4 linked regions of the Anolis sagrei genome follow. The protein of the gene in region 1 interacts with the protein of each later gene in a pairwise test. Links are inferred from orthologs where the notes say so. Each region holds a gene or a part of one and is shown in the gene's direction. Other genes may lie near its edges.

Region 1 (7,919 bases):
TAATGCTAAGGGTTCATTATTCTGGGAATGCACACTGGAACAACCATGTCTTCAAGCCCTTCCTAAAGACTGCCAGAGTTGGGGCATGCCTGGAAGTGAGTTCCAGAGTCGAGGGGCCACCACCGAGAAGGCCCTCTCTCTTGTCCCCACCAATCACGCTTGCGATGCAGGTGGGAGTGCAAGTAGATCTCCAGATGATCGAAGAGATCATGTGGGTTCATACACAGAAATGCGGTCACGTAGGTAGGCAGGTCTCAAACCATCCAGAGCTTTGTAAGTAAGAACCTGCACCTTGAATTGGGTCCAGAAAATGAATGGCAGCCAGTGGAGCTCCTTAAACAGGAGGGTTGACCGCTCCCTGTAAGGAGCGCCAGTTAACAATCTGGCTGCCACCCGTTGGACCAACTGAAATTTCTGAGCCGTTTTCAAGGGCAGCCCCACGTAGAGCGCATTACAGTAGTCCAATCTGGAGGTGCTATTCCAATGAGCTTCCAAGAACTTCCTTTTGATGTTCTTTTAGGCCCCTTCCACACAGCAGAATGAAATCTCACATTATTTGCTTTGAACTGGAATATATTTATTTATTTATTTACGGTATTTATAGCTCCCTTTTTTAGCCATACTGCGACTCAAGGTGGGTTACAGATTAGCACAATTCGATGTCAGGCATTCATAAAAGTGCAATTAAAAACAATCAACATTACAATATAAAACATAAATAAAAACTGTTAAAGCATATAATCATCGGTGTTGTCTTGGTAAAAACCTTCACATCGTCTGGCTGTTCCATGTTCATCATTCATAGTTCTGTGTTATCTATTCCGCTGCATTCTCAAAAGCTTGCTCAAAGAGCCAGGTCTTTACTTTTTTTGGAAAGCCAGGAGGGAGGAGGCCGATCTAATATCCCTGAGGAGGGAGTTCCGTACCCAGGGGGCCACCACTAAGAAGGCCCTGCCATTCGTTTCTGCCAATCGCACTTGTGTGGCAGGCGGAATCGAGAGCAGGGCCTCCCCAGACGATCTTAAGCTCCTAGATGGTTCGTAGGAGGAGATACATTCGGATGGGTAAGCTGGGCCAGAATTGTTTAGGGCTTTATGGGCTAAAGCCAGCACTTTGAATATATATGGCAGTGTGGGCTCAGATAACCCAATTCAAAGCAGATATTGTGAGATTTTCTGCCTTGATATTCTGGGTTTTATAGCTGGAAGGACCCAGAGTCCATTGTGATTCTTGCTCATTTTGAAGCTGTTCTTTTTTATGTACTATTTCGAGATTATCGACAAATGATTGTTGTATGCCACTTTGCATGCACTTCATATATAAAGATTTGGTATAAATTCAAACATCCTTGTTTGGATATGTGACAAGATCACAAGTACACAGATCAGAGAGGGACAATGTGCCAATTTGCATCGCCCAAAGGATGTCCTTTTGCCATTCTCTAGGTATTTCTCTGTTTTCCTCTTTAATCTCATTGGACTTCCCTTATCCTTGAACTGTTGCTATATTGAGGAATATATCTTCCATATGAAAGAAATTGCAGACCCAAGGAAAAAGGTATGAATCTGAAAACTGTGGCAAATTTTGATTAGAAGTCAGAAGCCAAGTCCTGGTGTCTTTCATGACAGTCCTTGCCACTAGGTGGCTGTCAAGAAGTAACTGAGAACAAGAAGGAGACTTTAAGGAGGCTGAAGATGCACCTTTAATAGGTTTTAACTGCCATGAATACTTTTTATGCAATCCTGGGATTTGTAATTTGGGGAAGCACGAGATTCTGGTAGAGAATTCTAAATACTGGTATTTGCTGGGGTTTGGTTCCAGGGCCTGCCATGGATCCTAAAAGCAATGGATGCTCAAGTCCCATATAATGCATAATCAAATGACATGTTGTTATATAAAATGGCAAAAGTAATGTGTTTTTGAGATGTGGGGTATTCTAAAGTCATGGAAGTTTAATCTGTGGGTCCAGAGTCCATGGACACAGAGAGCTGACCATATCTCAGTAAAGATTTTCCCCTGACATTAAGTCCAGTGTTGTCCAACTCTGAAGTGTTAGTGCTCATCTCCATTTCTAAGCTGAACAGCTGACATTGTCCATAGACACCGCCAAGCTCATGTGGCCAGCGTGACTGCATGGAGCGCTGTTACCTTCCCACCAGAGCAGTACCTATAGCTCTTCTCACATTTGCATGTTTGGGGCTTTATAGGTGAAAGCCAGCACTTTGAATTGTGCCTGGTAGCAAACTGGCAGCCAGTGGAGCTGGTGTAACTTGGGAGTTGTATGCTCCCTGTATGCCACCCCAGTTTCTCGTTGGACTATTTGAAGTTTCCGAGCAGTCTTCAAAGGCAACCCCACGTAGAGTGCATTGCAGTAGTCTATCCTGGATGTACCGAGAGCGTGGACCACCGTGGCAAAGTCTGACTTCCCATGGTACGGGCACAGCTGGCGCACAAGTTTTAATTGTGCAAATGCTCCCTTGGCCACCGGGGTTGCCTTTGAAGACTGCTCGGAAACTTCAAATAGTGCGAACGCTCCCTTGGCCACCGCTGCAACCTGGGATTCCAGGCTCAGTGATGAGCCCAGGAGGACCCCCAAGCTGCGAACCTGTGCCTTCAAGGGGAGTGTAACCCCATCCAGCACAGGTTGCGACCCTATACCCTGCTCTGAATAGCAATTGTGGGAATTGAAGTCCAAAACACCTGGAGGGACAAAGTTTGCCAATGTCTGGTCTATACTGTCATATAATCCAGTTTCAAATCTGATAATCTGGATTTTATCTGGCAGTGTAGAAGTGGACTAACTAAGAGATGCTTAGGTGGGGCATGGCCCAATATAAATAAACTAGCTGCCCCCTGCCACGCGTTGCTGTGGCCCAGTCTGTTGATCTGGAAAATAAAGTAATGAGAAAGTGTTAATTTCTAATATATGTATTTTCTTTATGCTTGTTGGGTAAACAGTATTTCTTGCTGTTTCTTTGTCAGTGTTGATGCGGAGAGTGTTTGGTTTGCCCACCCTTGAACATGCACCATATCATTGTCCTTCTTTAAGGGTCCCTTTCAAATCTATGATACTCTATCTGTGTGCGTGTGTGTGAATCATATCTATCTATCTATATCTATCTATGGCTGGATGGCTCTTTGTCAGGAGGACTTTGATTACGTTTTCTTGCCCTGATGAAGGGAGTTGGATTGGATGGCCTTAAGTATTTTCTGATGGTCATGGGGGTTCTGTGTGGTATGTTTGCCCCAATTCTGTTGTTCGTGGGGTTCAGATTGCTCTTTGATTGTAGGTGAACTGTGAATCCCAGTGACTACAACTCCCAAATGTCAAGGTCTATTTCCCCCAAACTCAATCTGTGTTCATATTTGGGCGAATTGAGTGCTTGTGCCAAGTTTGGTCCAGATCCATCATTGTTTGAGTCCACAGTGCTCTCTGGATGTAGGTAAACTACAGCTCCCAAACTCAAGGTCAATGTCCACCAAACCCTTACAATATTTTCTGTTGGTTGTGGGAGTTCTGTGTGCCAAGTTTGGTTCAATTCCATTGTTGATGGAGTTCAGAATGCTCTTTGATTGTAGGTGAACTATAAATCCAACAACTACAACTCCCAAATGACAAAATCATAATTTTTTTAATGATGGTCACTCCTTGTGTTGTGAGATATTTTGTTACCAAATTTGGTGTGATTTCGTTCATTGGTTCTTTTGTTTTTAACACACAGAGCATTTATATATATATATATATATATATATATATATATATACTAGCTGTCCCCTGCCACGCGTTGCTGTGGCCCAGTCTGGTGATCTGGAAAATAAAGTAATGGTTTCTTATCTATGTAATTTCTTTATGCTTGTGGGTAAACAGTATTTCTTGTTGTTTCTTTGTCAGTGTTGATATGGAGAGTGTCTGGTTTGCTTATTCTGGAACATGCAACATATAATTGTCCTTCTTTAAGGGTCCCTTTCAAATCTATGATACTCTATCTCTGTGTGTGAATCATATCTATCTATGGCTGGATGACTCTTTGTCAGGAGGACTTTGATTACGTTTTCTTGCCCTGATGAAGGGAGTTGGATTGGATGACCTTAAGTATTTTCTGATGGTCATGGGGGTTCTGTGTGGGAAGTTTGCCCCAATTCTGTCATTCGTGGGGTTCAGAATTCTCCCTGATTATAGGTGAACTAAAAATCCCAGTAACTACAAGTCCCAAATGTCAAGGTCTATTTCCCCCAAACTCCATCTGTATTTATATTTGGGCATATTGAGTATTTGTGCCAAGTTTGGTCCAGATCCATCATTGTTTGAGTCCACAGTGCTCTCCAGATGTAGGTGAACTACAACTCCCAAACTCAAGGTCAATGCCCACCAAACCCTTCTAGTGTTTTCTATTGGTCAGGGGAGTCCTGAGTGCCAAATTTGGTCCTATTCCATCACTGGTGGGGTTCAGAATGCTCTTTGATTATAGGTGAACTATAAATCCCAGCAACTACAACTCCCAAATGACAAAAGCAAATTTTTGAGTGAAGGACATACATTGGGTTGTTAGGTATCCTGTGTCCAAATTTGGTGTCAATTCATCCAGTGGTTTTTGAGTTATGTTAACCCCACAAACGAACATTACATTTTTATTTACATATAGATAGATAGATAGCTAGATAGCTAGATAGCTAGATAGCTAGATAGCTAGATAGATAGATAGATAGATAGAGATTGGGAACCACTAATACAGAGGCCTAGAATGCATTTGGGGCTGCATTCTGTGAGTGAGGCTGGCGGCCACCTCAGAGGTCACCCGGGCCTGTCTGGGGCGCCTCTCCTGCCTGGCGCTGGCCCCGCCCCTCCCGACCTCCCAAAGGCGCGGTGACGCCGCCAAGGATGCTGCTGGGCGGCGGCGGAGGAGAAGGAAGATGCAGGCGGCGAAGCGGAGGGAGACGGGGGCCCCCGGAGGACCATCGGCGCCCCCCGGAGAAGGCAAGCCTTCCCGGCGCATTGGGCGAGGGGCCCCCGGGCGCAGGCCCCCCGCACGGAGCGGTCCCCGAAGCAAGATCGCCCCTCCGGCCTCCCTTCCCAGCCCCGGACTCAGGAGCCTCAGGAGGTGAGAGGCTTGGGAGGGGAAGGAGAAGGGGGCGGGGGCCACCCTGGCCTGCTTGGGAAGGACTGACATCACCCTGCCTGAGACCATCGCCTTAGAATAACATCTCTATCCTCTGACTTGGATTCTGAGCCCATGCATTTCCCTCACTGTCATATTATCATCCAATTCCAGAATATAGCTTTACTGCATCCAACTGGATTATATCCATCGGATTCAATCTCAGGCCCCTTCCACACAGCTGAATGAAACCCCACATTATCTGCTTTGAATTGGGATATACGGTAGCATGGACTCAGCCCAGTTCAAAGCAGATATTGTGGGATTTTCTGCCTTGATATTCTAGGTTATATGGCCTAGGAAGGGCCCTCAAGGTGCTTTAAATCAGTCAACACTGCCCTACAATCCAGATCTATCCCCATTCTGAAACTGGATCATGGGGCAATGTCAGCCCCCATCCGTACTACAAAATAAAATCCGGATAATCTGTGTTGAACTGGATTATATGGTAATGTAGACTCCTATAATCCAGTTCAAAGCAGATCATGTTTTAGGGCCTTGGTACAGTCCGTGTTATAGGGCAATGTCAGTCCCCATCCGCACTGCAAAATAAAATCCAGGTTATCTGCTTTGAACTGGATTATAGGACAGTGTAGACTCTTATAATCCAGATCAAAGCAGATCATGTTTTAGGGCCTTAGTAAAATCTATTTTATGGGACAGTGTCATCCCCCATCCACACTGCAATATAAATTCCAGATTATCTGCTTTGAACTGGGTTATATGGCAATGTAGACTCTTATAATCCAATTCAAAGCAGATCATGTTTTAGGTCTTAGTAAAATCTATTTTATGGGGCAGTGTCATCCCCCATCCACACTGCAATATAAAATCCAGATTATCTGCTTTGAACTGGATTATATGGCAATGTAGACTCCTATAATCCAGTTCAAAGCAGATCATACTTTAGGATCTTAGTACAATCTGTTTTATAGGGCAATGTCATCCCCTATCCAGAGGCGGCCCTAGGTAATTTTCAACGGTAAGCAAACTGTATTTTGGCACACTCCCCCTCCCCCCCCCCCCCCCAAACCAATCACTGATATATATTTTCTGTTCGTCGTGGGAGTTCTGTGTGCCATATTTGCTTCAATTCCATCATTGGTGGAGTTCAGAATGCTCTTTGATTGTAGGTGAACTATACATCCCAGTAACTACAACTTGCATATGTCAAGGTCTATTTCCCCCCCAAGAGCGCCCCTGGGCAAAATCAACTATACTGCAAATGCTTACAATGGGTTGAGCAGCCCCTGCCTCTATCCGCACTGCAAAATAAAATCCAGATTATCTGCTTCAAACTGGATAATAGAGCAGTGTAGACTCCTATAATCCAGCTCAAAGCAGTGGACTCAAACAATGCACATATGGAGTATTCATGCCAAGTCTGGTCCAGATCCATCATTGTTTGAGTCCACAGTGCTGTCTGGATGTAGGTGAACTACAATTCCCAAACTCAAGGTCAATGCTTACCAAACTCTTCTAGTGTTTTCTGTTGGTCATGAGAGTCCTGTGTAACATGTTTGGTTCAATTCCATTATTGGTGGAGTTCAGAATGCTCTTTGATTGTAAGTAAACTATAAATCCCAGCAACTAGAACTCCCAAATGACAAAATCAATTTTTTTGAGTGATGGTCACTCCTTGGGTTAGTAGGTGTTTTGCGGCCAAATTTGACGGCAATTTGTCCAGTGGTTTTTGAGTTATGTTAATCCCACAAACGAACATTACATTTTTATTTATATACTAGCTGTCCCCTACCATGTGTTGCTGTGGCCCAGTCTGGTGATCTGGAAAATAAAGTAATGAGAAAGTGTTGGCTTCTAATATATGTAATGTCTTTCTGCTTGTCGGTAAACAGTATTTCTTGCTGTTTCTTTGCCAGTGTTGATGTGGAGAGTGTCTGGTTTGCCTACTCTGGAACAGGCAACATATCATTGTCCTTCTTTAGAGGCCCCTTTCAAATCTTTGATACTGCATCTGTCATATACATATATGTGTGTCTGTGAATGGCTGGATGGCTCTTTGTCAGGAGGGCTTTGATTGTGTTTTCTTGCCCTGGTGAAGGGAGTCCAATCCATGTTATGGGGCAATTTCTCCACCTGGGAAGTCAAGACCCCTGGGGGACACTGGGGGGAGGGGTCAGAAGGGTCACCAAAGACTACCAGAAAGCACATTATTTTGTGTTGGTCGTGAGGGTTCTGTTCCCCAATTCTGTCATTGGTGGGGTTCAGAATGCTCCTTGATTGTAGGAGAACTATAAATCCCAGTAACTACAACTCCCAAATGTCAAGGTCTATTTCCCTCAAAGAGAGAGAGAGAAAAGAGAGAGAGAGAAAGGGAGGGAGAAATCCATCCCTAGGAAAGGAAATTCACTCCTGAAAGAGTTATCACCAAGAAAGGTGTCTCCACTGAAGCCTGATCACCAATCCTTGTTTCTACCACAAGCCACATTTTTTCAAAATCCAATGATCACAGCGACAGAAACTTCTGAAAAGGGGCACAGACAGCAAAACAAACACCATTGGGGTGTTAACCCTTCTAATGCTGTCCAAAGCTGAAAGAGATATACGTATTTTGGACTGGAGTGACGCTTAGGAATGTACCTGTTCTGACAAATTCAACTTAAGAACAAACCTACAGAACCTGTCTTGTTTGTAGCTTGAGGACTGCCTATATTGCAAAGTAGCTTATAAAACTCTGTAGGGAATCCTGAAGAGGTCCAATCATATATATATATATGTGGTCTGTAATATTTATATTTATCC
Region 2 (7,818 bases), about 84 Mb from region 1:
TAAATATTTTTGAAGCTCAAATTTTGGAATTACTTAAACTCCTCCTTTTCCTTCAAAGACATCTTGACATGCCTTGAATTCACTTTTGAGCAGGTAAAAGAGTTCAAATGTGGTTTCCTCACAACCTGCAAAGTCTCCAGAGGTATCAATTATGAAATAGAATACATTAATAAAGAATAGGGACTGAAATTAAGAAGGCTTCATAAACAAAGGAGACTAGATTTAGAACTGCACAGGAAAAAGAAAAGATGCAAACTGCATCAAATTAAAATCTATGAACATATGATTAAACAATTCTAAAACTAAAGAACATCTAAATCATAACACAAATGTGCCTGTGCAGATCGCCAGTGTCCCACAAAACAACAAGGAGCCTTAAGTTGAATCTACACTGTCAAATGAATAGTTTGGCACCACTTTAACTGCCATGTCTTAAATGCTATGTAATCCTAAAAGTTGTAGTTTTACAGGGTGTTTAATCTGTGAAAGACTGTTGGTACCTCACTAAACTACAACTCCTATGATTCCCTAGCATCAGGCCCGTAGCCAGGATTTTGATTCGGGGGGGGGGGGGGGTTCTGGGTGAAAGAGGGTCTACCCTAGCAAACCTTTTGTATTGTTACTCCAATACCCCCATACATCTGGGATATATTTATTTATTTATTTATTTATTTACTTTGCTTATATACCGCTATATCTCAAGCCCGAAGGCGACTCACGGCGGTTCACAAACAGTAAAAACAGTAGAAACAGCAGTGGTTCCATACAACATATAACAATTGACTTAACACATTATCCATAAATTACCAATAAGCAATTACAATGCACAATTATTACAAAAAACAACCGTACCCAATCTTCTCATCATCCAAGCGTAGTCCAGGTTCGTCGTCCATTGTTCCATTCCTATGTTCCAATTACCAGATTGCACTAAATTACTCAAATGCCTGCACAAACATCCAGGTCTTCACCTTTTTGCGGAATACCATTAGAGATGGTGCTAGTCTAATGTCCGTAGGAAGGGCGTTCCACAGCCGAGGAGCCACCACCGAGAAGGCCCTATCTCTCGTCCCCGCCAGCCGAGCTTGAGAAGCAGGCGGGATCGAGAGCAGGGTCTCCCCGGAAGATCTCAAACTCCTCGTGGGTTCATAGGCAGAGATGCGGTCAGATAGGTAGCTAGGGCCGGAACCGTTTAGGGCTTTAAAGGCCAACGCCAGCACTTTGAATTCAGCCCGGTAGCAGATCGGTAGCCAGTGGAGTTGGCGCAACTGGGGGGTTGTATGCTCCCTGCGCTCCGCTCCTGTTAAAATCATGGCTGCCGAGCGTTGGACTAGTTGAGAATATTGAGAATGATGATCAGATCATGATATTAATAAACATAACAGTTTAAATAATGTACCAGTAAGGCCTTCTCGCGGACCACCATGAGAATTTCGGGGGGGGGGGGGCTGAAGCCCCCATAGCCCCCCCCCCCCGGCTACATGCCTGCCTAGCATAGAGCCATGGGCGCTAAAGTGGTGTCAAACTGCATTGTTAATTCACTGTCAGGCCCCGTCTAGAAGCCTTTGATGAAGATACTTAGCTGTAATGACAGGAAGGTAAACTTTTATTGAGCTGTCCTACGTTTATCATCTTTCTATTGAGTTACCTGTAATAACTGTATTGGATAAATGTTTTTAAATATGTTTACTTATCTTTATTGTAAATTGTTTTTAGAAGTTTTGTTTTACGTATGTATATTGTTTCGTATTGCTTTAACATAATGTTGTGAGCCACTTTGGATCCTGTTTAAGGATTAAAGTGGGATACAAATAATTAATTATTATTATTGATACAAAAACACAGTATGTCACAACCAACGAGAGATATATGCTGGAAGTCGTATCACAAAATCACAAGTCAAACACTTTCCAAGCGCCTAGGACTGTGTGATGTGTTTTCAAATGATGCGTGTAGATCCAAGTAAGGTGGCCTTTTGCAGCTGACAGATCGTCATTTTGTCAATGTTTATTGTTTCCAAATGCCAGCTGAGATCTTTTGGCACGGCACCCAGTGTGCCGATCACCACTGGGACCACCTGTACTGGTCTATGCCAGAGCCTTTGCAGTTCGATTTTGAGGTCCTGATAATGGCTGAGTTTTTCTTGTTGTTTCTCCTCAATGCGACTGTCACCTGGTGTGGCAACATCAATAATCCAAACTTTTTTCTTTTCCACAGTCATGATGTCTGGCATATTGTGTTCCAAAACTTTGTCAGTTTGGATTCAGAAGTCCCTCAGTATTTTTGCGTGCTCATTTTCCACGACCTTTGCAGGTTTATGATCCCACCAATTATTTATTTATTTATTTTATTATTTGAACGTATATGCCGCCACTCCCCTGGGGCTCGGAGCGGCTTACAAGAACAGGCTAAAATTGAACACAATTTAAAAACAATTTAAAACAATTTAAAAACAGCAATCAAAGATCAAAGGCCCGTCGAAACAGATATGTCTTACATGCCCTGCGGAAAGCTGATAAGTCCCGCAAGGCACGGACTTCAGTTGGCAGAGTATTCCAATGTGATGGTGTCACTGCAGTAAAGGCTCTGCGTCTGGTTGCTGTTAGACGCAAGGTCTTGACACTGGGAATTTCCAAGAAATCTTTACTACTGGCAGGTGGTACTTGTGACATAAGTTCCAATCATCATCATCATCATCGACAATATAGTGGTTTCATAAAACAGTTTAATTGCATTGAACAGCATTATATGAGTCTACACTACCATATAATGCAGTTCAGTGCAATTAAACTCTACTATCTGGTCAGTGTAGATGGGGCCTCTGAATCATTCTATAATTCAATAACAGACATGCCATGATGCGATTGTGAAATAATGTGCCTCATATCTGAAAAAAAAACTGTGAAGATTTAATTTTTCTTAAACAGGGCTGCGTTGTGCAAATCAATTTGAATCAACTGTGGGGTTTGCTGAAAATCTGCAACACCAAGAAATCAGCTGCTTAGACACCAGAACTCAACTGTTTTTCACAGTAAACAAAATATGAGGAACACAGCTGTTTGTCATGAGACAAGTTGGGAGAAGTGAATACAAACACATTATAGTATTTTCCTCTTCAGCAAACTTTCAGAGGTAAATGTTCTTCAAAATATTATAAAATGTGATCAAAGAACCACATTGCTTTGAAGTTCCCTCTCATATAAATGTACCTTGATGGAAAAAAAAGAGTAACCCAATTTAATATATGGAACTAGTTCATACATTCCTGTAGCAGAAATCAAGTGACAACCTGCATATATGAAAAAGCCATCGCTGAACAGTTATTATGCACACTCAAGATTTTACAATTTTTAAAAAATCTGTTTTTAACTGGTTAATGAGGGGTGAATAGTGAAGTGCCGAGATTTGCTGATAATGCAAAATCATTAGCTGTTAAAACAAAACTAGATTGCAGGTTACTTTTTCAAACTGGGGAAACAAGGAGTAAAATGACTCACTGGGGCAAAAAAAACCCCAAACAAAACAAAACCAAAACAAAACAATTCAGGAAATGTGATGACTACCTCAACAAAAAATGTTGATCAGAGATACTGTGATGGTCAATACAGGCCCTCTAGGTGTTTTGGACTTCAACTCCCAGAATTCCTAACAGCCCCTTTCCCCCATCAGCCACTTAAGTGAAAAGGAAAGGGCCTGAAGCTGTTAGGAATTCTGGGAGTTGAAGTCCAAAACACCTGGAGGGCCCAAGTTTGCCCATGCCTGGTCAATACCATGTTGAAACTCATTAGAAAAGTGATGGGAAATCTCAGAGTTGTAGTTTGGCGAGGTACCACCACTCTTTGGCAGAGGAGGCTCAAGGCCTTGTAAAACTACAACTCATGTGATTCCATAGCATCAAGTCATGGCAGTTAAAGTGCCATCAAACTGCATTATTTCTACAGTGTAGATGTGCCCTAATGAGAAAGGCTCCCTGGTTTCAGTTCAGCACATGGCCCTCTCCATGTTGTTTTTTTTCCCTGGGGTGGAACACCCATCACCTTTGCTGAGTTGTTGGGAACTGGGCGAAACTATGATAGCTGGAACCCAATGCTGAGACAGCGCAGCAAGTGAGAGATGCAGGTGTGACAGAGTCGTGGCAAGATAGCTTGCCAGAAAGGGGGGAGGGCAGAAACGGGGGCAGAAAGGGGGGGAACGGACAGCCGAGCATAGTGCTTAAGGCTATCCGGATATCATATGCAAACACATTCAAATATGTTATATCTTCGCTTCTCTAATTCTGACCCGTGACATGCAACCAGCATTGGATCCCAGATATCATACTTTTCGTGAACCACCATGAGAATTTCGGGGGGGGGGGGGGGGGCTGAAGCCCCTCAAGCCCCCCCCCCCCCGCTACATGTCTGCCTCAAGAAAAAGACAAGGTGATTTGGTATGCCCATACCACCAAGTGGTATCATCAAAGTGGTATCATCTGCATATCTAAGGTTGTTAATGTTTCTTGCAGCATTTTTTACCCCAGCTTGCCCATACCTGATCAATAGTACAGAGGCCCTTGTGGTCTCTTCCAACTTAAGGATTATATGAACAGAAGTTTCCCAGCCCTTCTCAGAAAGAGAGTGGAGGCGGCTCCCACCAGCCAGCCTTGACTCCTCCCGCGCTTTCCCTTCTGTCCCTTCACCCACGGTCACGAGCCTTCCCGGGGGCAGGCGTCTGCGCATGCGCGGAGGTCTCTCCCTCCCTATCTCCCTCCCTCCCTGGCAGTTCCTCCTGGAAGCACCTCCGCCTTCGAGTCGTCGCCTAACGGGCTGAGGAGAGGAGTCGTCGCCAAGGCCGCTCGGTGAGAACGACTTGAAGCAAAAACCGTGTTTGTGTGAGAGGGAGAGAGGGAGGGAGGCCGGGGCCTGGGGTGGATCAAGGGCCGTGGGGTTGGGGTGGGAGAGGCGCCTTCTTTCTCCCTCAGAAAAGGAGGCCTAGTTCCTCGGACCCTCCTCAAATAGAAGCGACGCCTCCGTAGCCCGCACATTTGTGATTTTGTGGGGATTGTTTGTCACCTGAGGAAGAAAAGTGTGTGTGTTTGTGTGTGGGCACCCCTTGATTTGTATGGCTGCTGTTGCTCCTTGTCTCGGTCTGAGGCGAGACGTGTCTGAAGAGAAGGGGAGGGTCGTCTGAGTCTGGGAGAGAAAGGGAGAGCGCCTGAAGCCCCCTCCCCAACACACACACACACACAAGACGTTTGGCAGCGAGAGGGGTTTACTCACCTCCCCCGCCCTCTTCCTACTCCATCCTCTCCCTCCCCTCCTCTTCTTTCTCCTCTTGCTGCTCCTCGTACTCCCCCTTCTCTCTAATATTCATCTGTTCTTCTCCACCTCTTCTTCTTTCTCCTCTCTCTCTCCTCTTCTTTCTTCTCTTCCTCCTCGTACTCCTCTCTTTCTTAATTTTCATCTTTTCTTCACCTCTGCTTCTTTCTCCTTCTCTCTCTCTCTCGTCTTCTTTTTTCTCTTCCTCCTCCTACTCCCTCTCTTTTCTAATTTTCATCTGTCCTCCTGCTTCTCCCCCTCCTCTTTCTCCTTCCCTTCCTCCTGTACTACTCCTCTCCAATTTTCATCTGCCCTCCTCCTTCTCTGCCTCTTTCTCCTCTTCCTTTTCCTTCCCTCTTTCTCTTCTTCCCCCTTCTCTTCTTTCTCATTCTTTCTCCTTCTCTCCCTCCTTTCTCCTCCTCTTGCTCCTTGTACTCTCCCTCTCTAATTTTCATCTGTCCTCCTTCTTCTCCCTCTCCTCTTTCTCCTTCTCTTTCTCCTCCTTCCCCTCTTCTTTCTCTTCCTGCCCCTCCTTGTACTCCCCTTCTCTAATTTTCACATGTCCTCCTTCTTCTCCCCCTTCTCTTTCTCCTCCTCCTCCTGTTCTTTCTCTTCCTCTGCCCCTTCCTCCTCCTTTCTCCTTCTCTTCCTCGTACTCCCCCTCTCTAATTTTCATCTGTTCTCGTTCTTCTCCACCTCCTCTTTCTCCTTCTCTTTCTCCTCCTTCCCCACTTCTTTCTCTTCCTCTCCCCCTTCCTCCATTTCTTCTTCCTCCTCATATCCCCATCCTAATTTTCTCCCCTCCTCTTTCTCCTCCTTCACCTCTTCTTTCTCTTACTTTCTCCTTCTCCCTTCCTCCCTTTCTCTCTCATTTTGTTCCTCCTCGTACTCCTCTTCCTTTCTCACTTTCATCTGTCCTCCTTTCTTTCCAGCCTCTTTCTCCTTCTCTTCTTCCTCCTCTTCCTCCCCATTCTCTCTCAAATTTTCATAAGTTTTCCTCTTTTTCCCTTCTCCTGCTCTTCCACCCTTCTTTTCTTCCCCCCCCCCTCTTCCTCTCTCTCTTCCTCTGCTTTCTCATTCCCCTTCTTCACTCCCTCCTTTCTCCTTCTCCCCCCTCCTCCTCCTACTTGGGACAGAGGCCCAGATTGAGCAGGGAGGGAAGGAGGAGAGGCAAGCAAAAGCTTTGCCAGTTCCCTTTTTCCTTGAAATAGGTTCTTGGTTGGTGGGGGAGAGAAGCACTGAGAGGCTTTGATTCCTCAGAGGAGTCACAAATGGAGGAGGAGGAGGCATCCATTTTCAGTTTTGTTACAGGATGTTTGCTGAAAGGTGGGAGAAGGAAGTTGTTGGTTTTTCTGCGTGACGTGATGTCTTTTCCATTGCTGCGGGTGTGTGTACTTTAGATGTTACTAGGAGTTGCCTGTTTTGGTTTTTAAAACCACAAACCAAGAGAGATAAAATTGGGGTGTATTGGTTGCTGCCTTGATTCCAACTATGTCTTAATATATACATTCTCTGTCATCTCTGTGTGTACATGTGACCATATGGTGGTTGCTAGCTATCCTAGAATTGACTTTACTTTTGGCAACCCTGTGCATGGGACAATCCCGCCTTCAATCTATATTAAGTGGTCAGTTGAGACATTCCCTCAAGTCAACAGACCTGTTCAGGTCTCACATGGTCCATCCTAACTTTTGTATTTAATAATATTAGATGACTACTGAGGGTAAATTCAGTAAGTTCTATGTTTTTGTTTGCAATAAAGTCTACTGGGTTCTGTAAGGCTGAATGGCTAGTAAAGGTGTTCAGTACTACATCCATGTTTTCAATTTCAGTGTAAAATCTGGATGAGAAAATATAGTGATATTGTATTATTTTGTGTTCTGTTTTACAATAGATTACAGTATTTTGTTTCTGAAGAGCCATCTAATTCCCCATCAGAGTTTCCAAAACATGTGAGTCACTAGTATTACCAGAATTTGTTGAGATAATTGTTTGACAAACTGTTTTAGCTCGAAATCCCCCTTCCCGGTTTTGGGAAGTTGATGCTGTTTCATACATAGTTTTACATACCTTTATTATTTTCTCTTGCTATTTTCTAAGCTAAAATATTACGTTGACTTATAGTGAGGCTTCCTCAGGTCACTAGCTATTGGCTGGCTATTTTCTATGTTTTCATCTGCTCTGCAATACACAGAGGAGTTTCAGTTTGTGTTAAAGTTGGTCTCCTAGACTTTTATTGTAACTGACGTAAGGAACTGGGTAACAACAAAGATGGCCATTTCAGTTATCTCACCACAAGTGACTGTTGATACTGTTACCCACTAGCAAAGTGTACTTTTTCCTATTGTAACCCTTTCATTCAGTGATAACAAGACTGCAGTTACTTTTCCCATTCCTCCAGCTTAGGAAGGTAACACTGTCCAGTCGCTTTATGGCAAAGCTGCATCTCAGCTCAACTCACCTTTCTCACACACTCACCTCTGTTTCACTCCACTTCTCAGGTGTGCTGAGAGAGCTATGC
Region 3 (8,150 bases), about 59 Mb from region 1:
CAAAGCTAATTTATCTATCTCTTACATTTATTTCCTAGCTTTCCAACAAATGGTGCTCTAGATCAGGGTTTAACTTTTTCCACTCATGATCCCTTTCCACCCAAGGGAGTATTAAAACTGCATTAACGGCAATCTAATGCTACAGGTTGAGTATCTTTTATCCAGAAATCCCAAATTTCCCACATGTGTCTGAGATATTGACACCTTTGCTTTCTGATGGTTCAATGTACCAAATTATTTAAAATACTGTGCATAAAGGTGCCTTCAGGCTACGTGTATAATGTGTAAATGAAACATATATGCTGTGTTTAGGCTTGGCTCCCATCTTCAATATGTTACATCAGGCATGGGCAAACTTTCTAACTTGGGGGCCTCATGGCAGGCTGGAGCAGGGTGGGCAGGCCAGGAGCAGGGGGATTCTCTCCAAGTCCCCTCCCTGCCCTTTCCTCCCCTTCCTCTTCTCTTTCGGAGGCAGAAAGCAAAGGAAAGATGGGAAACATTTGGATCCCAAAAGGTTAGCCTTGGTCAGGATGAGGTGGATACGAGAGGAAAAAGTGTATCTATTAGACCCCATACTGCATACTCCTGATATAGAATCCTAGAGCTGGAAAGGACCCTCAAGGGCCATCCAGTCCAACCCCCTGCCAAGCAAGAAGGCACAATTAAAGCATTCCCGACAGACAGCCTCTGCGGAAAAGTCTCCAGAGGAGACTCTACCACACTCCCAGGCAGCCTAGGCCACTCTCCAACAGCTCTTACTTTCAGGAATTCTTCCTAATCTTTTCCCCTGCCATTTGAACCCATTGCTTCCTTGTGTTCTGGTCTCTAGAGCAGCAGAAAGTTGGTTTTCCCCCTCCTCTTCAATGGGACACCCTTTTAGATCTTGAAAATTGGTTCTCATGTTCCTTCTCTACCTTCTCTTCCCCCAGGTAAACATGCCCCAGGAGGAAAGAAGGAAGGAAAAAGAAAAGGAAGGAAGGTAAAAAGGGAAGAAGAGAAGGATGGATGGAAGGAAGGGTGGAGGGAATGCGGGGAGGGAGGAAAGAGGGAAGGAATCATAGAATCATAGTTGGAAGAGACCTCATGGGCCATCCAGTCAAACCCCCTGCCAAGAAGCAGGAATATTGCATTCAAATCACCCCTGACAGATGGCCATCCAGCCTCTGTTTAAAAGCTTCCAAAGAAGGAGCTTCCACCACACTCCGGAGCAGAGAGTTCCACTGCTGAACGGCTCTCACAGTCAGGAAGTTCTTCCTAATGTTCAGATGGAATCTCCTCTCTTGTAGTTTGAAGCCATTGTTCCGCGTCCTAGTCTCCAGGGAAGCAGAAAACAAGCTTGCTCCCTCCTCCCTGTGACAAAAGGGAAGGAAGGAAGGAGAAAGAGGGAGAGAAAGAGGGAAGAAAGACAGAAGACTGGAAGGGTAGGAGGGAAGGGGGAAAGGCAGAAGGAAAGAGGGAAGGAAGGAAGGATAGGATGGTGAGCGAGAGGAGGGCCTGCAAAAAGAGTCCAAGAGGCCGCATTCGGCTCCCGGGCGTGGGTTTCTCCATACCTGTGTTACATGCAGGTGGTGTCAATATCTTATTTACTAACACCTTGAAGATGGGAGCCAAGCCTAAACACAACATTTATGTTTCATATACATGTTATGTGTACGTGAAACATAAATGACTGGTTTGATTAGGCTTAGCAATTAGGCGATGCAAAAAAAAAAAAATCCCACACACAAAAATACCTGAAATCGCAAACTTGTCTGGCGCCAAGCAATTCGGATGAGGGGCAGATACTCCCCTGGCATTACATTGAGGAGATTTAGTAACTCAGGCATGGGTAAACTTCGGCCCTCCAGGTGTTTTGGACTACAACACCCACAATTCCTAACAGCCTACCGGCTGTTAGGAATTGTGAGCGTTGTAGTCCAAAACACCTGGAGGGGCGAAGTTTGCCCATGCCTGTAGTAACCCTACCTGTCACCAGGTCCCTCTCCTGCCCCTGACACTCGTCATTCGCTCGTTCACACGTTACACTCCATACCCGACCCCTCATTCTTGAAACGAATGTACATCCAAGCACAATCGCAGCAGGCCTCCATCTTGGCCGACACTGAGAAGCAAAAACATGCAACGGTCTCAAGGTAAAATGTTTGGCTAAGGCTACAGCAGCCTTGGGAAGCCGTACCAGGTGACACCCATGTTTCCTCGGCTGTCTCCTCCGCGGGGGAGGCGTGAACCCGGGCGGAAAGGTGGCCCAAGACTTCTCAGCCTCACTCAGCGCCCTCTGCCCGGCGGTCTTCGCGGAGCCTCACACAGCCTCGCCTCCTCGGAGGGAAGAACGCCGAAAGGAAGTGACGTCATCGCGGGGAATGCGGGCGAGTGTCGTCCTCGCCGCCTCCTCTCGGAAGCGGCCCCCTGGCGGCCGGAGCAGGCAATGCAGGCCCACCTCCAACTCAGGTGGTCCTGCATTGCCCATCCAGCAAAAGAAAGTGGAGCCAGGCTTTCCTGTAGGGAGGAAAGTATTGACACCTCCGGCCCATCCTCTGTTCGGATATCAGCCAGCATATTGACGTTTTAAATCAAGAAACAACTTCCTAAGATCTACTTTATATATACGTATATTTAGGTTTAAAATTGTATTTCATCTATATAAATAAAAATGTAATGTTCGTTTGTGGGATTAACATAACTCAAAAACCACTGGACGAATTGACACCAAATTTAGACACAATACACCTAACAGTCCAACGTGTGACCATCACCTGTAAACACACACACAAACACACACAAAACCCCAGCCGAACAGACTTAAAACCCCCCCAAAAATACCATATTTACATATACACAGAATCATAGAGTTGGAAGAGACCTCATGGGCCATCCAGTCTAACCCCCTGCCAAGAAGCAGGAATATTGCATTCAAATCACCCCTGACAGATGGCCATCCAGCCTCTGTTTAAAAGCTTCCAAAGAAGGAGCCTCCACCACACTCCGGGGCAGAGAGTTCCACTGCTGAATGGCTCTCACAGTCAGGAAGTTCTTCCTCATGTTCAGATGGAATCGCCTTTCTTGTAGTTTGAAGCCATTGTTCTGCGTCCTAGTCTCCATGGAAGCAGAAAACAAGCTTGCTCCCTCCTCCCTATGACTTCCTCTCACATACTTATACATGGCTATCATGTCTCCTCTCAGCCTTCTCTTCTTCAGGCTAAACATGCCCAGCTCATTAAGCCGCTCCTCATAGGGCTTGTTCTCCAGTCGCCCTCCTCTGGACACATTCCAGCTTGTCAATGTGTCCAGATACACATACACTCATATACATATACACATGCACACATTCATACACACACACATATATATATGCACAAACACACACAGATATACACATATACACAAACATACATACACATACACACAGATACACACAGATATACATATACACATGCACACACATATACATATCCACATAATATTTCGTTCAGACGATCAGAATCTCCTTGAAGTTCCCAATTTTAGGACCATTCACCTGATGTCTACTAGGCGTAGAACTTTCACGGTGGTGGCTCCTTATCTATGGAATGCTTTGCCAGCAGGAACAGGAGCTCTCCGAGATTTACTTGCTTTTCGTAGAGCTTGTAAAACTTATTTATTTAGGGTGGCATTTGAATTTTGTTGATCAAAGTTTTTCTTGTGTATATTGTAAACCGCTCCGAGACTTCGGCGAGTGGAAGTATATAAAATTGATTAATAAAATAAATAATATATATATATATATACACACACACACACACACACAAATATGCATATAGACAAGCACACACATATACACAATATGCATGCACACATATAAATACACATATATACACACACTTATATACACAAATATATACACATACATAAACACATATATACACACACACAAAACACATATGCACAGACTGGGCTACAGCAACACGTGGCAGGGGACAGCTAGTTTATAATAATAATAATAATAATAATAATAACTTTATTTATACCCTGCCACCATCTCCCCAAGGTGACTCGGGCGGCTTACATGAGGCCAAGCCCAACAAAATACATCAGTAGAAAACAAGGCAAGCAAGCAAATAAAACACAGTACAATATCATAAATAACATATAAGCAGTAACACACAAGAGATTTAAAAGACTGTGGGAAAGGCCGGATGTAGTAGATTAAATTTTTAAAATACTGGGTGTGAACAGAAGTAGGGTATCTAAACGGGGGGTGGGGCGGTTAGAGAGTAATGTAGGGAAATAAATCCAACGGGTAGTGCTTCAGAGGACATATTGCAGAAAATTGATCAAATTAGGGCATTGTTTCCTTTATTCAGGGAAGGCACACTGAAATAGCCATGCTTTCAAGATGTCCCAGTCCTCAAACACTCTGTGCTTCATTCGTAAAAATGCACTCACAGAGCTCAGGCGGTGTTGTATTTAAGTGTCAATGTGGACTTTTGTGGGGAGGTGGCTGCCAAGGTAGTGGAAATTATCAACATTTTCTAATGTTACACCATTAAGCTATATTTCTGGCATTGGAGAGGGATTGGCTGGTGACTGCTGGAAGAGCACTTTGGCTTTCTCGATGTTCAATGACAGGCCAAGCTTTTCATATACTTCTGCGAAGGTGTTTAGAGTGGCATGTAGAAATTCTGAATGTGCACAGACGATGTTATCATCAGCATATTGGACTTCTGTAATAGATGTTGTCACCTTGGTTTTGGCTTTCAGTCTGCTGAGGTTAAATAGCTTTCCATCTGTCTGATATTTTGCATATACAATTTTCCAAATGTATATGCAAAATATTAGAGATGTGGGCAAACTTGAGCCCTACCGGCTGCTAGGAATTGTGTGAGTTGAAGTCCAAAACACCCGGAAGGCCCAAGTTTGCCCACGCCTGATTGGTCTCAAAAGCGTGAAAAGTTGGGAAAGCTCTGCTCTATATCTATTCCGCCCCTGCGGTCGCAAGCCCCGCCCCTTTTCTGGCCTTCTCTTTCCGGCGCATGCGTCTTAGCCTTTCCTCTCCCCCACGTGTCTGGGCGATCATGCCGAAAGAGAAGCGGGTGCGAGGGGCCTCCTCGGCGGCCGGGGTGAGCGTGCCTCTGGCCGAGCAGATCCTGCAGGGCGAGGCGGTGAAGCCCAGTCGGCGGGTGAAGCGGAGGGGCAAAGCCGGCCTGCATGGCGGGGGAGCGGGAGGAGAAGAGGAGGAGGAGGAGGAGGAGAAGTACGTGGACGAGCGGCTCTCCCGGAAGATCCTGGAGCAGGCGCGGATCCAGCAGGAGGAGCTGCAGGCCGAGCATGGCCTTTCCGGCAGAGAGGAGCCCAAGAGGAAGACCACCGTCCTGGGTGAGTGGGCAAAAAGCACGTGACATCACATTATTAAGCCCATCCTGGGATTAAACAAACCAAACACCCCGCCATCCTCCAGATGCGATGGACTACAACTGCCATCATCCCCAACTCCTTCAGTACAGCCAAGTAATAAAAATAGGCCTAACTCTGCCTTTCTATCACACTGTGTAACACAATGTTTGTTTCTGGGTTGTAAACGTCATTTCCCAATTGGTTATGTTACAAAACACAGCAAAAGTTTTGTTTAACTGGATTGTTGTGAGTTTTCCGGGCTGTCTGGCCATGTTCCAGAAGCTAGACAAGTGAGGTTTATATATCTGTGGAATGTCCAGAGTGGGAGAAATAACTCTTGTCTGATGGAGGCAAGTGTGAATGTTGTAATCGGTCACCTTGATTAACATTGAATGGGCTTGCAGCTTCAAAGCCTGTAAACTCCACTTGCCTAGTTCCCAACAAATGTCACAATCTCTCAGGATGCCTGCCATAGATGTGGGCGAAATGTGAGGAGAGAATGCTTCTGGAACATGGCCATTACAGCCCGAAACTCACAGCAACCCAGGGCCCTTCCACACAGCCATATAACCCAGAATATCAAGGAAGAAAATCCCACAATATCTATTTTGAACTGGTTTATCTGAGTCCACGCTGCCATATATCCCAGATAATGTGGGATTTTATTCAGCTATGTGGAAGGGGCCCCGGTGATTTTGGCCATGAAAGCCTTCAACAACATTATTTCTTTGATCCCCCCCCCCCCCCCCGGTTACCCGAGAGTTCTGGCTGCTTGAGTTGTGGTTAACTCAGAGTCTACTATATTTTGTCCAAGTAAATGAACTAAGGGTGATATTAACTGTATTTTCATAGCATTGCCATAAGATGTTTCAACCATATACAGTAGACCAGGGATCCTCAAACTAAGGCCCGGGGGCCGGATGCGGCCCTCCAAGGTAATTTACCCGGCCCTTGCTCAGGGTCTACCTAAGTCTGAAATGACTTGAAAGCACACAACAACAACAACAACAATCCTATCTCATCAGCTAAAAGCAGGCACACACTTACCATTGAAATAGTAATAAGTTTATATTTGCTAAAATTGTTCTTCATTATAATTATTGTATTGTTTTTAAGTGTATAGGAATTCATTCGTGTTTTTTTTTTTTCAAATTATAATCCGGCCCTCTAATAGTTTGAGGGACTCTGACCTGGCCCTCTGTTTAAAAAGTTTGAGGACCCCTGCAGTAGACTCTCTGTTAAGTCATGGGATAGATAAATGGCAATTTCTGTAGTTTCTGGTAGCATGGGAGTTGCTATTAAAATTAGATCTAATACTATACAGGTAAAGGTTTCCCCTGACATTGTCTAGTCGTACCCAACTCTGGGAGATGATGCTCATCACCATTTCTAAGCCGAAGACCGTACGCCTCCAAGGTCATGTGTCTTAAGCAGCCGAGGGGGAAAAGGAAGGGGCCTGAGGCTGTTAGGAATTGTGAGAGTTGAAGTCCAAAACACCTGAAGGGCCCAAGTTTACCCATGCGTGGTCAAAGTCAAAGTAAGTGAAGCTAAGGATAACAATGCATTTTCAATGCATGTCCATAACTAGTTCTTCTTTGCAGCTGGAAAAAAACCCTTTTGACCACTATCCCATTGATTACAATAAGAACCTATTCTATACTTTAGGATCCCACTCTGGTATTCTCCAGGTTGGTACAGCTGCCATCGTCCCCAGGAATTCTTCAGATCAGGGGCAATAAGGCAATTGCTTGTTTTGCTAAACATGTAGAGCTAATTTTCACCTGCCTCTTCTAGGCTCCAACTCAAAGGATGGAGGTTCAGATACAGATGACGAGGAATGGCCATCACTGGAGAAAGCTGCAGCCATGGAGAAGGGAGAGTATTGTGAGGAGATGACTGTGAATCCTGAGGATGAAAAAGCCATTGAAATGTTCATGAATAAGAACCCACCACTGAGGTGAGCCCAAAAGGACCAAATCTTGGTTTATGGTTGAAAAATTAGTGGTAGAGGAGCCCTTTTAGGGTTTTTGTTTTGTTTGATTTTGTTCCTGGGATTAAGCGATATGTGGAAAGTTGGTACAAAAGCTGAGAAATTTCCCCTAGTTCCCTCTTGTGTAGTGGTTCTCAACCTGTGTGTCCCCAGATGTTTTGGCCTTCAACTCCCAGAAATCCCAACAGCCGGTAAATTGGCTGAGGTCTCTGAGAGTTGTAGGCCAAAACACTTGGGGACCCACAGGTTGAGAACTACTGCCCTAAATGGTTTGGGTCCAGCTTACCTGTTACTTCTTTTATTATTTTGCCTCACTCCCACTGTTTGTATTATATGCAATTATGAAACAGAATTCCACTGAAGGAATGGGATTACGTTGGTTTTTAATGGACTAATGATGTCAAATTATAAATTGACAGAAAAAGCATCCTCTACAGCTAATTGACTAATATTGATTGGGAGAAAAAACAGATTAATTGTTTACCTGCAAACTTAGAGACTTGAAGCCAGTTGGAATATAATTGACTAGAACATGTGGCTCTCAACCTGTGGGTCCCCAGATGTTTTGGCCTTCAACTCCCAGAAATCCCAATAGCTGGTAAACTGGCTGGGATTTCTGGGAGTTGTAGGCCAAAACACCTGGGGACCCACAGGTTGAGAACCACTGTTCTAGTGTTTATTGATCTTTATAAGAATGGAACAGCTCTCAGATGTATTTTTATGTGTCTTAGTTTTATGTCTCATCAGCACAGCAAAACAGAGTAGCTATTAACCCTCATAAAACACAACC
Region 4 (7,646 bases), on another chromosome or scaffold:
CCAAACTTGGCACAAATACTCAATATGCCCAAATGTGAACACTGGTGGAGTTTGGGGAAAATAGACCTTGATATTTGGGAGTTGTAGTCGCTGGGATTTATAGTTCGCCTACAATCAAAGGGCATTCTGAACTCCACCAACGATGGAATTGAACCAAACTTGGCACACAGAACTCCCGTGACCAACCAAAAATACTGGAAGGATTTGGTGGGCATTGACCTTGAGTTTGGAATTTGTAGTTCACTTACATCCAGAGAGCACTGTGGGCTCAAACAATGACCAAACTTTGCACGAATACTCAATATGCCCAAATGTGGAGTTTGGGGAAAATAGCCTTGACATTTGGGAGTTGTAGTTGCTGGGATTTATAGTTCGCCTACAATCAAAGAGCATTCTGAACTCCACCAACAGTGGAATTGAACCAAACTTGTCACACATTATTAATTTTATTAATAATAAATAAAATAATAATAATAAAGCATATATTATTACTATTATTATTATTATTGATCCTCATCCCCTTTCGCAACTTGGCTCGCTTACACCGAGCCACCTAAATCTGGGTTGCATCATGTAAAAGCCATCGTTTTCAAATTACAAGTGAGACGAAAAGGCACTCACAGGCTCTCCCCGTCCCGCAGCTTCTTGGTGGCGGCCTGCTTCGAGCGGCGGATCTCAGAGTCCAGTTTGAAGAGGAAGTCCGAGGCTGAGAGGTCATGTTTGGGGACGCCGCTCGAGGACCCGTTCTTCCGAGGGTGCTTCTGCTTCTTGGGGGTTTCGGGGACTCCAGGTCCCAGCTCATCTCCCGCTTTTGCGGTTGTGGCCTGCTCTCCCTCCTCCTTCTCCTCTTCGTCCTCGTCAAGGTTCAACCCGTTCGACAAGGACTTCGGCTCCATCGGCACTGGGATGAAGAGAGTCTTTTTCAGGAAAATGGAGTCGTTGGTGTAGAGACGGTTGGCCCGCTTGATCTGCTCGGTCTGGAATCGGATCAGAAAGGCGGTTAAGCGAAACGATAGCTCAATGCTCCTCTATCTATCTATCTATCTATCTATCTATCTATCTATCTATCTATCTATCTATCTCTGTCGTCTATCTGTCTGTCTATCCATCCATCCATCCATCCATCAATTCATCCATCCATGTCCTCTCTCTCTCACTCTCTCTATCTATCTATCTATCTATCTATCTATCTATTTGTCAATCTATCTGTCTATCTATCTATCTATCTCTGTTGTCTATCTATCCATCCATCCATCCAACCAACCATCTATCCATTCATCCATCCCTGTCCTCTATCTATTTCTCCATCCATCCATCCATCCATCCATCCATCCATCCATCCATCACCTCTATCTATCTATCTATCTATCTATCCATCCATTCATCCATCCCTGTCGTCTATTTCTCCAACCATCCATCCATCCATCCATCCATCCATCCATCCATCCATGTCCTCTATCTATCTATCTATCTATCTATCTATCCATCCATCCATCCATCCAACCATCTATCCATTCATCCATCCCTGTCCTCTATCTATTTCTCCATCCATCCATCATCCATCCATCCATCCATCCATCCATCCATCCATCACATCTATCTATCTATCTATCTATCTATCTATCTATCTATCTATCTATCAATCCATCTATCAATTCATCCTTCCCTGTCCTCTATCTATTTCTCTATCCATCTATCCATCCATCTATGTCCTCTATCTATCTATCTATCTATCTATCTATCTATCTCTGTCGTCTATCTATCTATCCATCCATCCATCTATCTATCCATTCATCCTTTCCTGTCCTCTATCTATTTCTCTATCCATCCATCCATCCATCCATGTCCTCTATCCATCCATCCATCTATTTATCTATCTATCTATCTCTGTTGTCTATCTATCTATCTATCTATCTATCTATCTATCTATCTATCTATCTCTCCATCCATCTATCCATTCATCCATTCCTGTCCTCTATCTATTGCTCTATCTATCCATCCATCCATCCATGTCCTCTATCTATCTATCTATCTATCTATCTATCATCTATCTCTGTCGTCTATCCATCCATCCATCCATCCCTGTCCCCTATCTATGTCCTAGTGTCCAGAACAGCCTTCCCCCTCCTCAATGGGAAATCCTTTCAAATATGTAAACATGACTCTCAACTTTCACTTTTGCTTCTCCAGCTCCCAAAGTCACTCCTTCTAGTTTTTCAGACCTTTGATCACGGCGATTGCTCTTCTCAACGAAAATAATGTTATGGTTAGGGGGTCAACACAACTTCTTTGACATGGACTGTAGTCAAGCCACGCCATGGATACTCATGCTATGTATCCATGCAATGATGTGCCAAGACTCACCGTGACCCCGTACTTGACCGCCAGGCCTTGGAGGGTATCCCCAGGTTCGAGGCGATGCTCCAGCCGCCTTTCCCGCACGGGCGAGCTGACTGTCTTGACCAGGCTGCCATAGGATCGGGTCCGGCTCCCTTGCAGCAACCCGGCTCCTCCGGGGGAAGCGGGCTTCGACGGAGAGGACATCCCTTTTCCCCCCAAAATAAATAAATCCCTAAAGACCTTTCCAGGGCGTGACCCTAAAGGGCCCTAAAACTTGACTCCAAAGGTCTTTTGAAGGCCCTAAAAGCTTGATCCTAAAGGTCCTTCCAAGACCCTAGAAGTTTGATCCGAAAGGTCCTTCCAAGACCCTAGAAGCTTGACCCCAAAGGCCTTCTCCAAGACCCCAAAAGCTTGACTTCAAAGATCTTTCCAAGATCCCAAAAACTTGACCCCAAAGGTCCTTCCAAGGCCCTAGAAGCTTGATCCCAAAGGTCCTTCCAAGTCCCTAGAAGCTTGACCCTAAAGGCCTTTCCAAGACCCCAAAAGCTTGATCCTAAAGGTCCTTCCAAGTCCCTAGAAGGTTGACCCCAAAGACCTTTCCAGAGACCCAGAAGCTTCACCCTAAAGGGCCATAAAAGCTTGACCCCAAAAGGTCCTTCCAAGTCCCCAGAAGCTTGATCCGAAAGGCCTTCTCCAAGACCTCAAAAGCTAGACCCCAAAGGTCCTTCCAAGATCCCAAAAGCTTGACCACAAAGGCCTTCTCCAAGACACCAGAAGCTTGACCCTAAAGGTCCTTCCAAGTCCCTAGAAGCTTGACCCTAAAGGTCCTTCCAAGACCCTAAAAGCTTGACCCTAAAGGCCTTCTCCAAGACCCCAAAAGCTTGATCCCAAAGGTCCTTCCAAGTCCCTAGAAGCTTGATCTGAAAGACCTTCTCCAAGACCTCAAAAGCTTGACCCTAAAGGTCCTTCCAAGTCCCTAGAAGCTTCACCCCAAAGGTCCTTCCAAGTCCCTAGAAGGTTGACCCTAAAGACCTTTCCAGGGACCCAGAGGCTTCACCCTAAAGGGCCCTAAAAGCTTGACCCTAAAGGCCTTCTCCAAGACACCAAAAACTTCACCCCAAAGGTCCTTCCAGGTTCTTAGAAGCTTGATCCGAAAGACCTTCTCCAAGATCTCAAAAGCTTGACCCCAAAGGCCTTCTCCAAGACCCCAAAAGCTTGACCCCAAAGGCCTTCTCCAAGACCCCAAAAGCTTGACCCCAAAGGCCTTCTCCAAGACCCTAAAACCCAGCAAGACCCCTAAGTTTGGACCCCACTTCTTGCCATGGTGGAGTGGCCCTTCTAAAGGCCCATCGTCCCCGTCTCAAAAGGTAAACAAAGCCCTGCCAACCTTGATCTATCTCTCTAGGTATCTACCCAGGATCCACAAACCTCCCCGCCAGCTTTGATCAAGCCTTTTCCAATCCAATTCAGATCTATTGATCTCCAATCCCAATCAATTTCCTGGCTCATAAGAGGAGACCACAACCAATGGTCTCCTCTTGGACACCCAACCCTATGTAGATATCTATATATATCTATATAATATATATATATTGATTATAATTATATATAATTATATATGCAATATAATTCTATATATATATATAGAATATAATTATATATAAATAGATATAATTTCCCCAGAAATATGTCTGTTTTGGTTCCAGCCACAGACAGATGTCAATCACCCATCACCCCTGCTGCCAATCAATAAGGATCAATGGCTCCAAAGAGGATACTTATCAATAGAGAGAGATTCTCCCAGCCAAGAAGCTGTTGGACCCAAAGCCTGCCTTGCAACCGACTCCCAAGCCCCGCCTCCCCTCCCGCGCAAAGGATCCTGGGATTTGTAGTCTTTGCACTCAAAACACTTTGGAAGCCAGGAAAATAAAATCAAACCCTTTCTCTCCTTTCCTTCCAATTTGAAACCCCCAAATCCAGGCAATTTGCACCCAATCCAGGCAAATTTTGCATTTAGGGGAAAGATATAAGTGATTTTGGGAGAAAGGACTACATTTCCCATCATGCTCCATTTTGAGCAAGGCATGATGGGAGATGTAGTTCTTTCCCCTCTCCAGGAAGTAAACAAGGGAAAGAAAGAGCCCAGAGGCATTTCGGGCAATGCAGTCTCTTGGAAGCAAAGCCCTGATTGGTGCAAGCAACTGAGAGTTGTAGTGCATGCTGGGAGTTGTAGTGCACACTGGGAGTTGTAGTCCTGGGATGTTTGCAACGCTAGAAGGTAAACATTGCATTGTTTGGAGGTGATGCAGTTTCTTAGAAGCAGAGCCCTGATTGATGCAAACAATTGGGGGTTTTAGTGCATGCTGGGAGTTGTAGTGCACAATGGGAGTTGTAGTCCTGGGATGTTTGCAACGCTAGAAGGGAAGCAGAGATTATTTGGGAGCAGTGCAGTCTCTTAGATGCAGTGCCCTGAGTAGTGCAAACAACAGAGAGTTGTAGTGCATGCTGGGAGTTGTAGTGCACAATGGGAGTTGTAGTCCTGGGATGTTTGCAACGCTAGAAGGTAAGCATTGCATAGTTTGGGGGTGATGCAGTCTCTCAGAAGCAGAGCCCTGTTTGGTGCAAGCAATTGGGGGTTTTAATGCATGCTGGGAGTTGTAGTGCACAATGGGAGTTGTAGTCCTGGGATTTTTGCAACTTTAGAAGGGAAACCTTGCATAATTTGGGGTGTTTTTTCTTTTATTTTAGGGGGAAAGGATGTCCTTCAAGAGGGAAGGAGACGACCCCAGCCAACTCAACGTCCTCAAGGTGAGTGGGAAAGGAAGTGGGGGCAAAAGAGGGGTCCATTTGGGGGTAAAATGCCATATTATTCCTTTGGAAAGGGTCCATGCTGTTTCCCATGTTGAATAGTTGCCATTTCCTGCAAAATCCAGATCCTATGTAAGCCACCCAAAGCACTCTGCACATGCTCAGTGGCTGCCTTGCCTTTTAGTTTGCTGGAAAGCACAGGGCACCTCTGAGCCAAGGACTATGTAAACAAGCCACCCAAAGCACTTTGCACATGCTCAGTCGCTATTTTGCCTTGCCTTTTTGCTTGCTGGAAAGCACAGGGTGCCTCTGAGCATGTACAGAGTGCTCCCAGCCTGCAGAGTTTGGCCACAGTGCATGTACACTGCATTATAATATAATATATTGTATATGCATATAATGTTTATAATATTATTAGCTGTACCTGCCACGCGTTGCTGTGGCCAAACTTCCCTCCTTCTTTCTCTCCTTTCTTCCTTCCTTCTTTCCTTCCTTTCCTCTTTTTCTTTCCCTTCTTCTTTCTTTCTTCCCTACCTGTTTCTTTTCTCGCTTCCTTTGCTCTGTGGTTCCATCCTTCCTTGTCTCCTTTCTTCCTTCCCTCTCTCTTTCTCTCTTTTGCTCCTTCTCTCCTTCTTTCCCTCTTTCCCTTTTTTATTTCATTCTTTCTCTTTCCTTCCTTCCCTCCTTTCTTCCTTCCTTCTATATACCCTTCTTTCCTTCCTTCTCTCCTTCCCTCTTTCTCTCCCTCCTTCTCTCCTTCCTTCTCCATTTTTTCCCTTCCTTCTCTTTTCCCCTCCTTCTTCTCTCTCTCCTTCCTTCTCTACTTTTCTTTCTTTCCTTCCTTCTTTCTCTCCTTCCCTCCTTCTTTCCCTCCTTCTCTCCTTCCTTCTTTCTCTATCCTTTTTTCTTTCCTTCTCAATCTTCCCTCCTTCTTCTCTCCCTCTTTCTCTCCCACCTTCCTTCTCTACCTTTCTTTCTTTCTTTCCTTCTTTCCTTCCTTCTCTCCTTCCCTCTTTCTCTCCTTCCTTCTATTTTTCCCTCCTCCTTCTCTCTCTCCTTCCTTCTCTACTTTTCTTTCTTTCCTTCTTTCACTCCTTCCCTCCTTCTTTCCCTCTTTCTCTCCTTCTTTTTCTATCCTTCTTTTTTCTTTCCTTCCCTCCTTCTTCTCTCCCTCTTTCTCTCCCACCTTTCTTCTCTACCCTTCATTCTTTCCTTCCTTCTCTCCTTCCCTCTTTCTCTCCCTCCTTCTCTCCTTCCTTCACCATTCTTTTTTTCCTTCCTTCTCTTTTTCCCTCCTTCTTCTCTCTCTCCTTCCTTCTCTACCTTTCTTTCTTTCCTTCCTTCTCTCCTTCCCTCTTTCTCTCCCTCCTTCTCTCCTTCCTTCTCCATTCTTTTTTTCCTTCCTTCTCTTTTTCCCTCCTTCTTCTCTCCCTCCTTCCTTCTCTATCCTTCTTTTTCCTTCCCTCCTTCTTCTCTCCCTCTTTCTCTCCCTTCTTCCTTCTCTGCCTTTCTTTCCTTCTTTCTCTCCCTCCTTCTCTCCTTCCTTCCTTCCTTCCTTCTTTCCGTGTATGTGTTGTGTGTGTGTGTAGGTATATAGGTGTGTTTGTGTATATATGTGTGGTTTTGCGCGTGCATTGTAATGTTTTGGTTTTGTGTTGTTTTTTGGCTTTTAAGTCCCTTCTGTTGTGTTTTTCATTGTTTTTAGGAGTGATGGCCACTCGTTGGCCTGAGAGGCGTCTTGTGTCCAAATTTGGCTTCTAGGAATTGTGGGAGTTGTAGTCCAAAACACCTGGAGGGAGAGCCGAAGTTTGCCCATGCCTGGTATAGATGCACTGTGGAAATAACTGGGGTAGCAGTGGCCAAACTCTGCAGGCTGGGTGCACTCTGTGCATGCTCAGAGGTGCCCTGTGCTTCCAGCAGGCAAAAAGGCAAGGCAAGGCACCCACTGAGCATGTGCAGAGTGCTTTGGGTGGCCTGTTTGTCTTAAAGTTTTCCTTCCTTTTAAAATCTTTTTCTTCTCCTCCAGAAAAGAAGAGTTGCGGACCTTTTGGCCAACTATATCCCGGAAGACGAAGCCTTGCTCCTGAGAGATGGCAGGTCAGCATCCCTCTCTCTTCCTTCCTCCTTTCCTCCCTTCATCCCCTCCCTTTGCTTCCTCTTTCCCTTTCCTCCTTCCTTCTCCCAATTTGTTTTTTCTACCATTCTTCCTCCCATCTTCCTTCTTCTCATCTCTCTCCTTCCTTCCTTCTCTCAATCCCTTCTCCTTCCTTCCTTCCTTCCTTCCTTCCTTCCTTCCTTCCTTCCTTCCCTCCTTCCACCTATCGTACTCCTTGCTTCCTCCTCTCTTAATCTTTCCTTCCTTCTCTCACTCCCTTCTCATTCTTTCCTACCTTTCTTCCCTCCTTCCTTCTTTCCACTCCCTTCTTCCACTTCTTAATCTCTCTCTCTCTCCTTCCTTCCTTCTCTAAATCCCTTCTCCTCCCTTCCTCCCCTATTTC

The links.
Region 2: the proteins of PDE4DIP (region 1) and SDCBP interact in binary tests that used the Homo sapiens proteins (3 or more experiments, as listed by UniProt). The two-hybrid records come from large-scale screens. The link is inferred for Anolis sagrei from reciprocal best matches to the Homo sapiens genes PDE4DIP and SDCBP.
Region 3: the proteins of PDE4DIP (region 1) and bystin interact in binary tests that used the Homo sapiens proteins (3 or more experiments, as listed by UniProt). The two-hybrid records come from large-scale screens. The link is inferred for Anolis sagrei from reciprocal best matches to the Homo sapiens genes PDE4DIP and BYSL.
Region 4: the proteins of PDE4DIP (region 1) and SCNM1 interact in binary tests that used the Homo sapiens proteins (3 or more experiments, as listed by UniProt). The two-hybrid records come from large-scale screens. The link is inferred for Anolis sagrei from reciprocal best matches to the Homo sapiens genes PDE4DIP and SCNM1.

Annotation. Positions count from the first base shown.
Region 1 is NC_090024.1:132,332,124-132,340,042, forward strand, and holds the start of PDE4DIP (myomegalin), read left to right. Parts: upstream 1-4,861; 5' UTR 4,862-4,911; coding exon 4,912-5,099; intron 5,100-7,919. UniProt on the Homo sapiens protein: Functions as an anchor sequestering components of the cAMP-dependent pathway to Golgi and/or centrosomes.
Region 2 is NC_090024.1:48,695,355-48,703,172, reverse strand, and holds the start of SDCBP (syntenin-1), read left to right. Parts: upstream 1-4,726; 5' UTR 4,727-4,837; intron 4,838-7,191; 5' UTR 7,192-7,249; intron 7,250-7,818. UniProt on the Homo sapiens protein: Multifunctional adapter protein involved in diverse array of functions including trafficking of transmembrane proteins, neuro and immunomodulation, exosome biogenesis, and tumorigenesis.
Region 3 is NC_090024.1:191,064,116-191,072,265, forward strand, and holds the start of bystin, read left to right. Parts: upstream 1-5,001; 5' UTR 5,002-5,009; coding exon 5,010-5,352; intron 5,353-7,164; coding exon 7,165-7,327; intron 7,328-8,150. Other genes in the region: MED20 (mediator of RNA polymerase II transcription subunit 20), read right to left, coding at 2,177-2,190. UniProt on the Homo sapiens protein: Required for processing of 20S pre-rRNA precursor and biogenesis of 40S ribosomal subunits. May be required for trophinin-dependent regulation of cell adhesion during implantation of human embryos.
Region 4 is NC_090032.1:6,618,938-6,626,583, reverse strand, and holds the start of SCNM1 (sodium channel modifier 1), read left to right. Parts: upstream 1-4,472; 5' UTR 4,473-4,903; intron 4,904-5,088; 5' UTR 5,089-5,097; coding exon 5,098-5,148; intron 5,149-7,174; coding exon 7,175-7,245; intron 7,246-7,646. Other genes in the region: LYSMD1 (lysM and putative peptidoglycan-binding domain-containing protein 1), read right to left, coding at 622-977, 2,365-2,544. UniProt on the Homo sapiens protein: As a component of the minor spliceosome, involved in the splicing of U12-type introns in pre-mRNAs. Plays a role in the regulation of primary cilia length and Hedgehog signaling.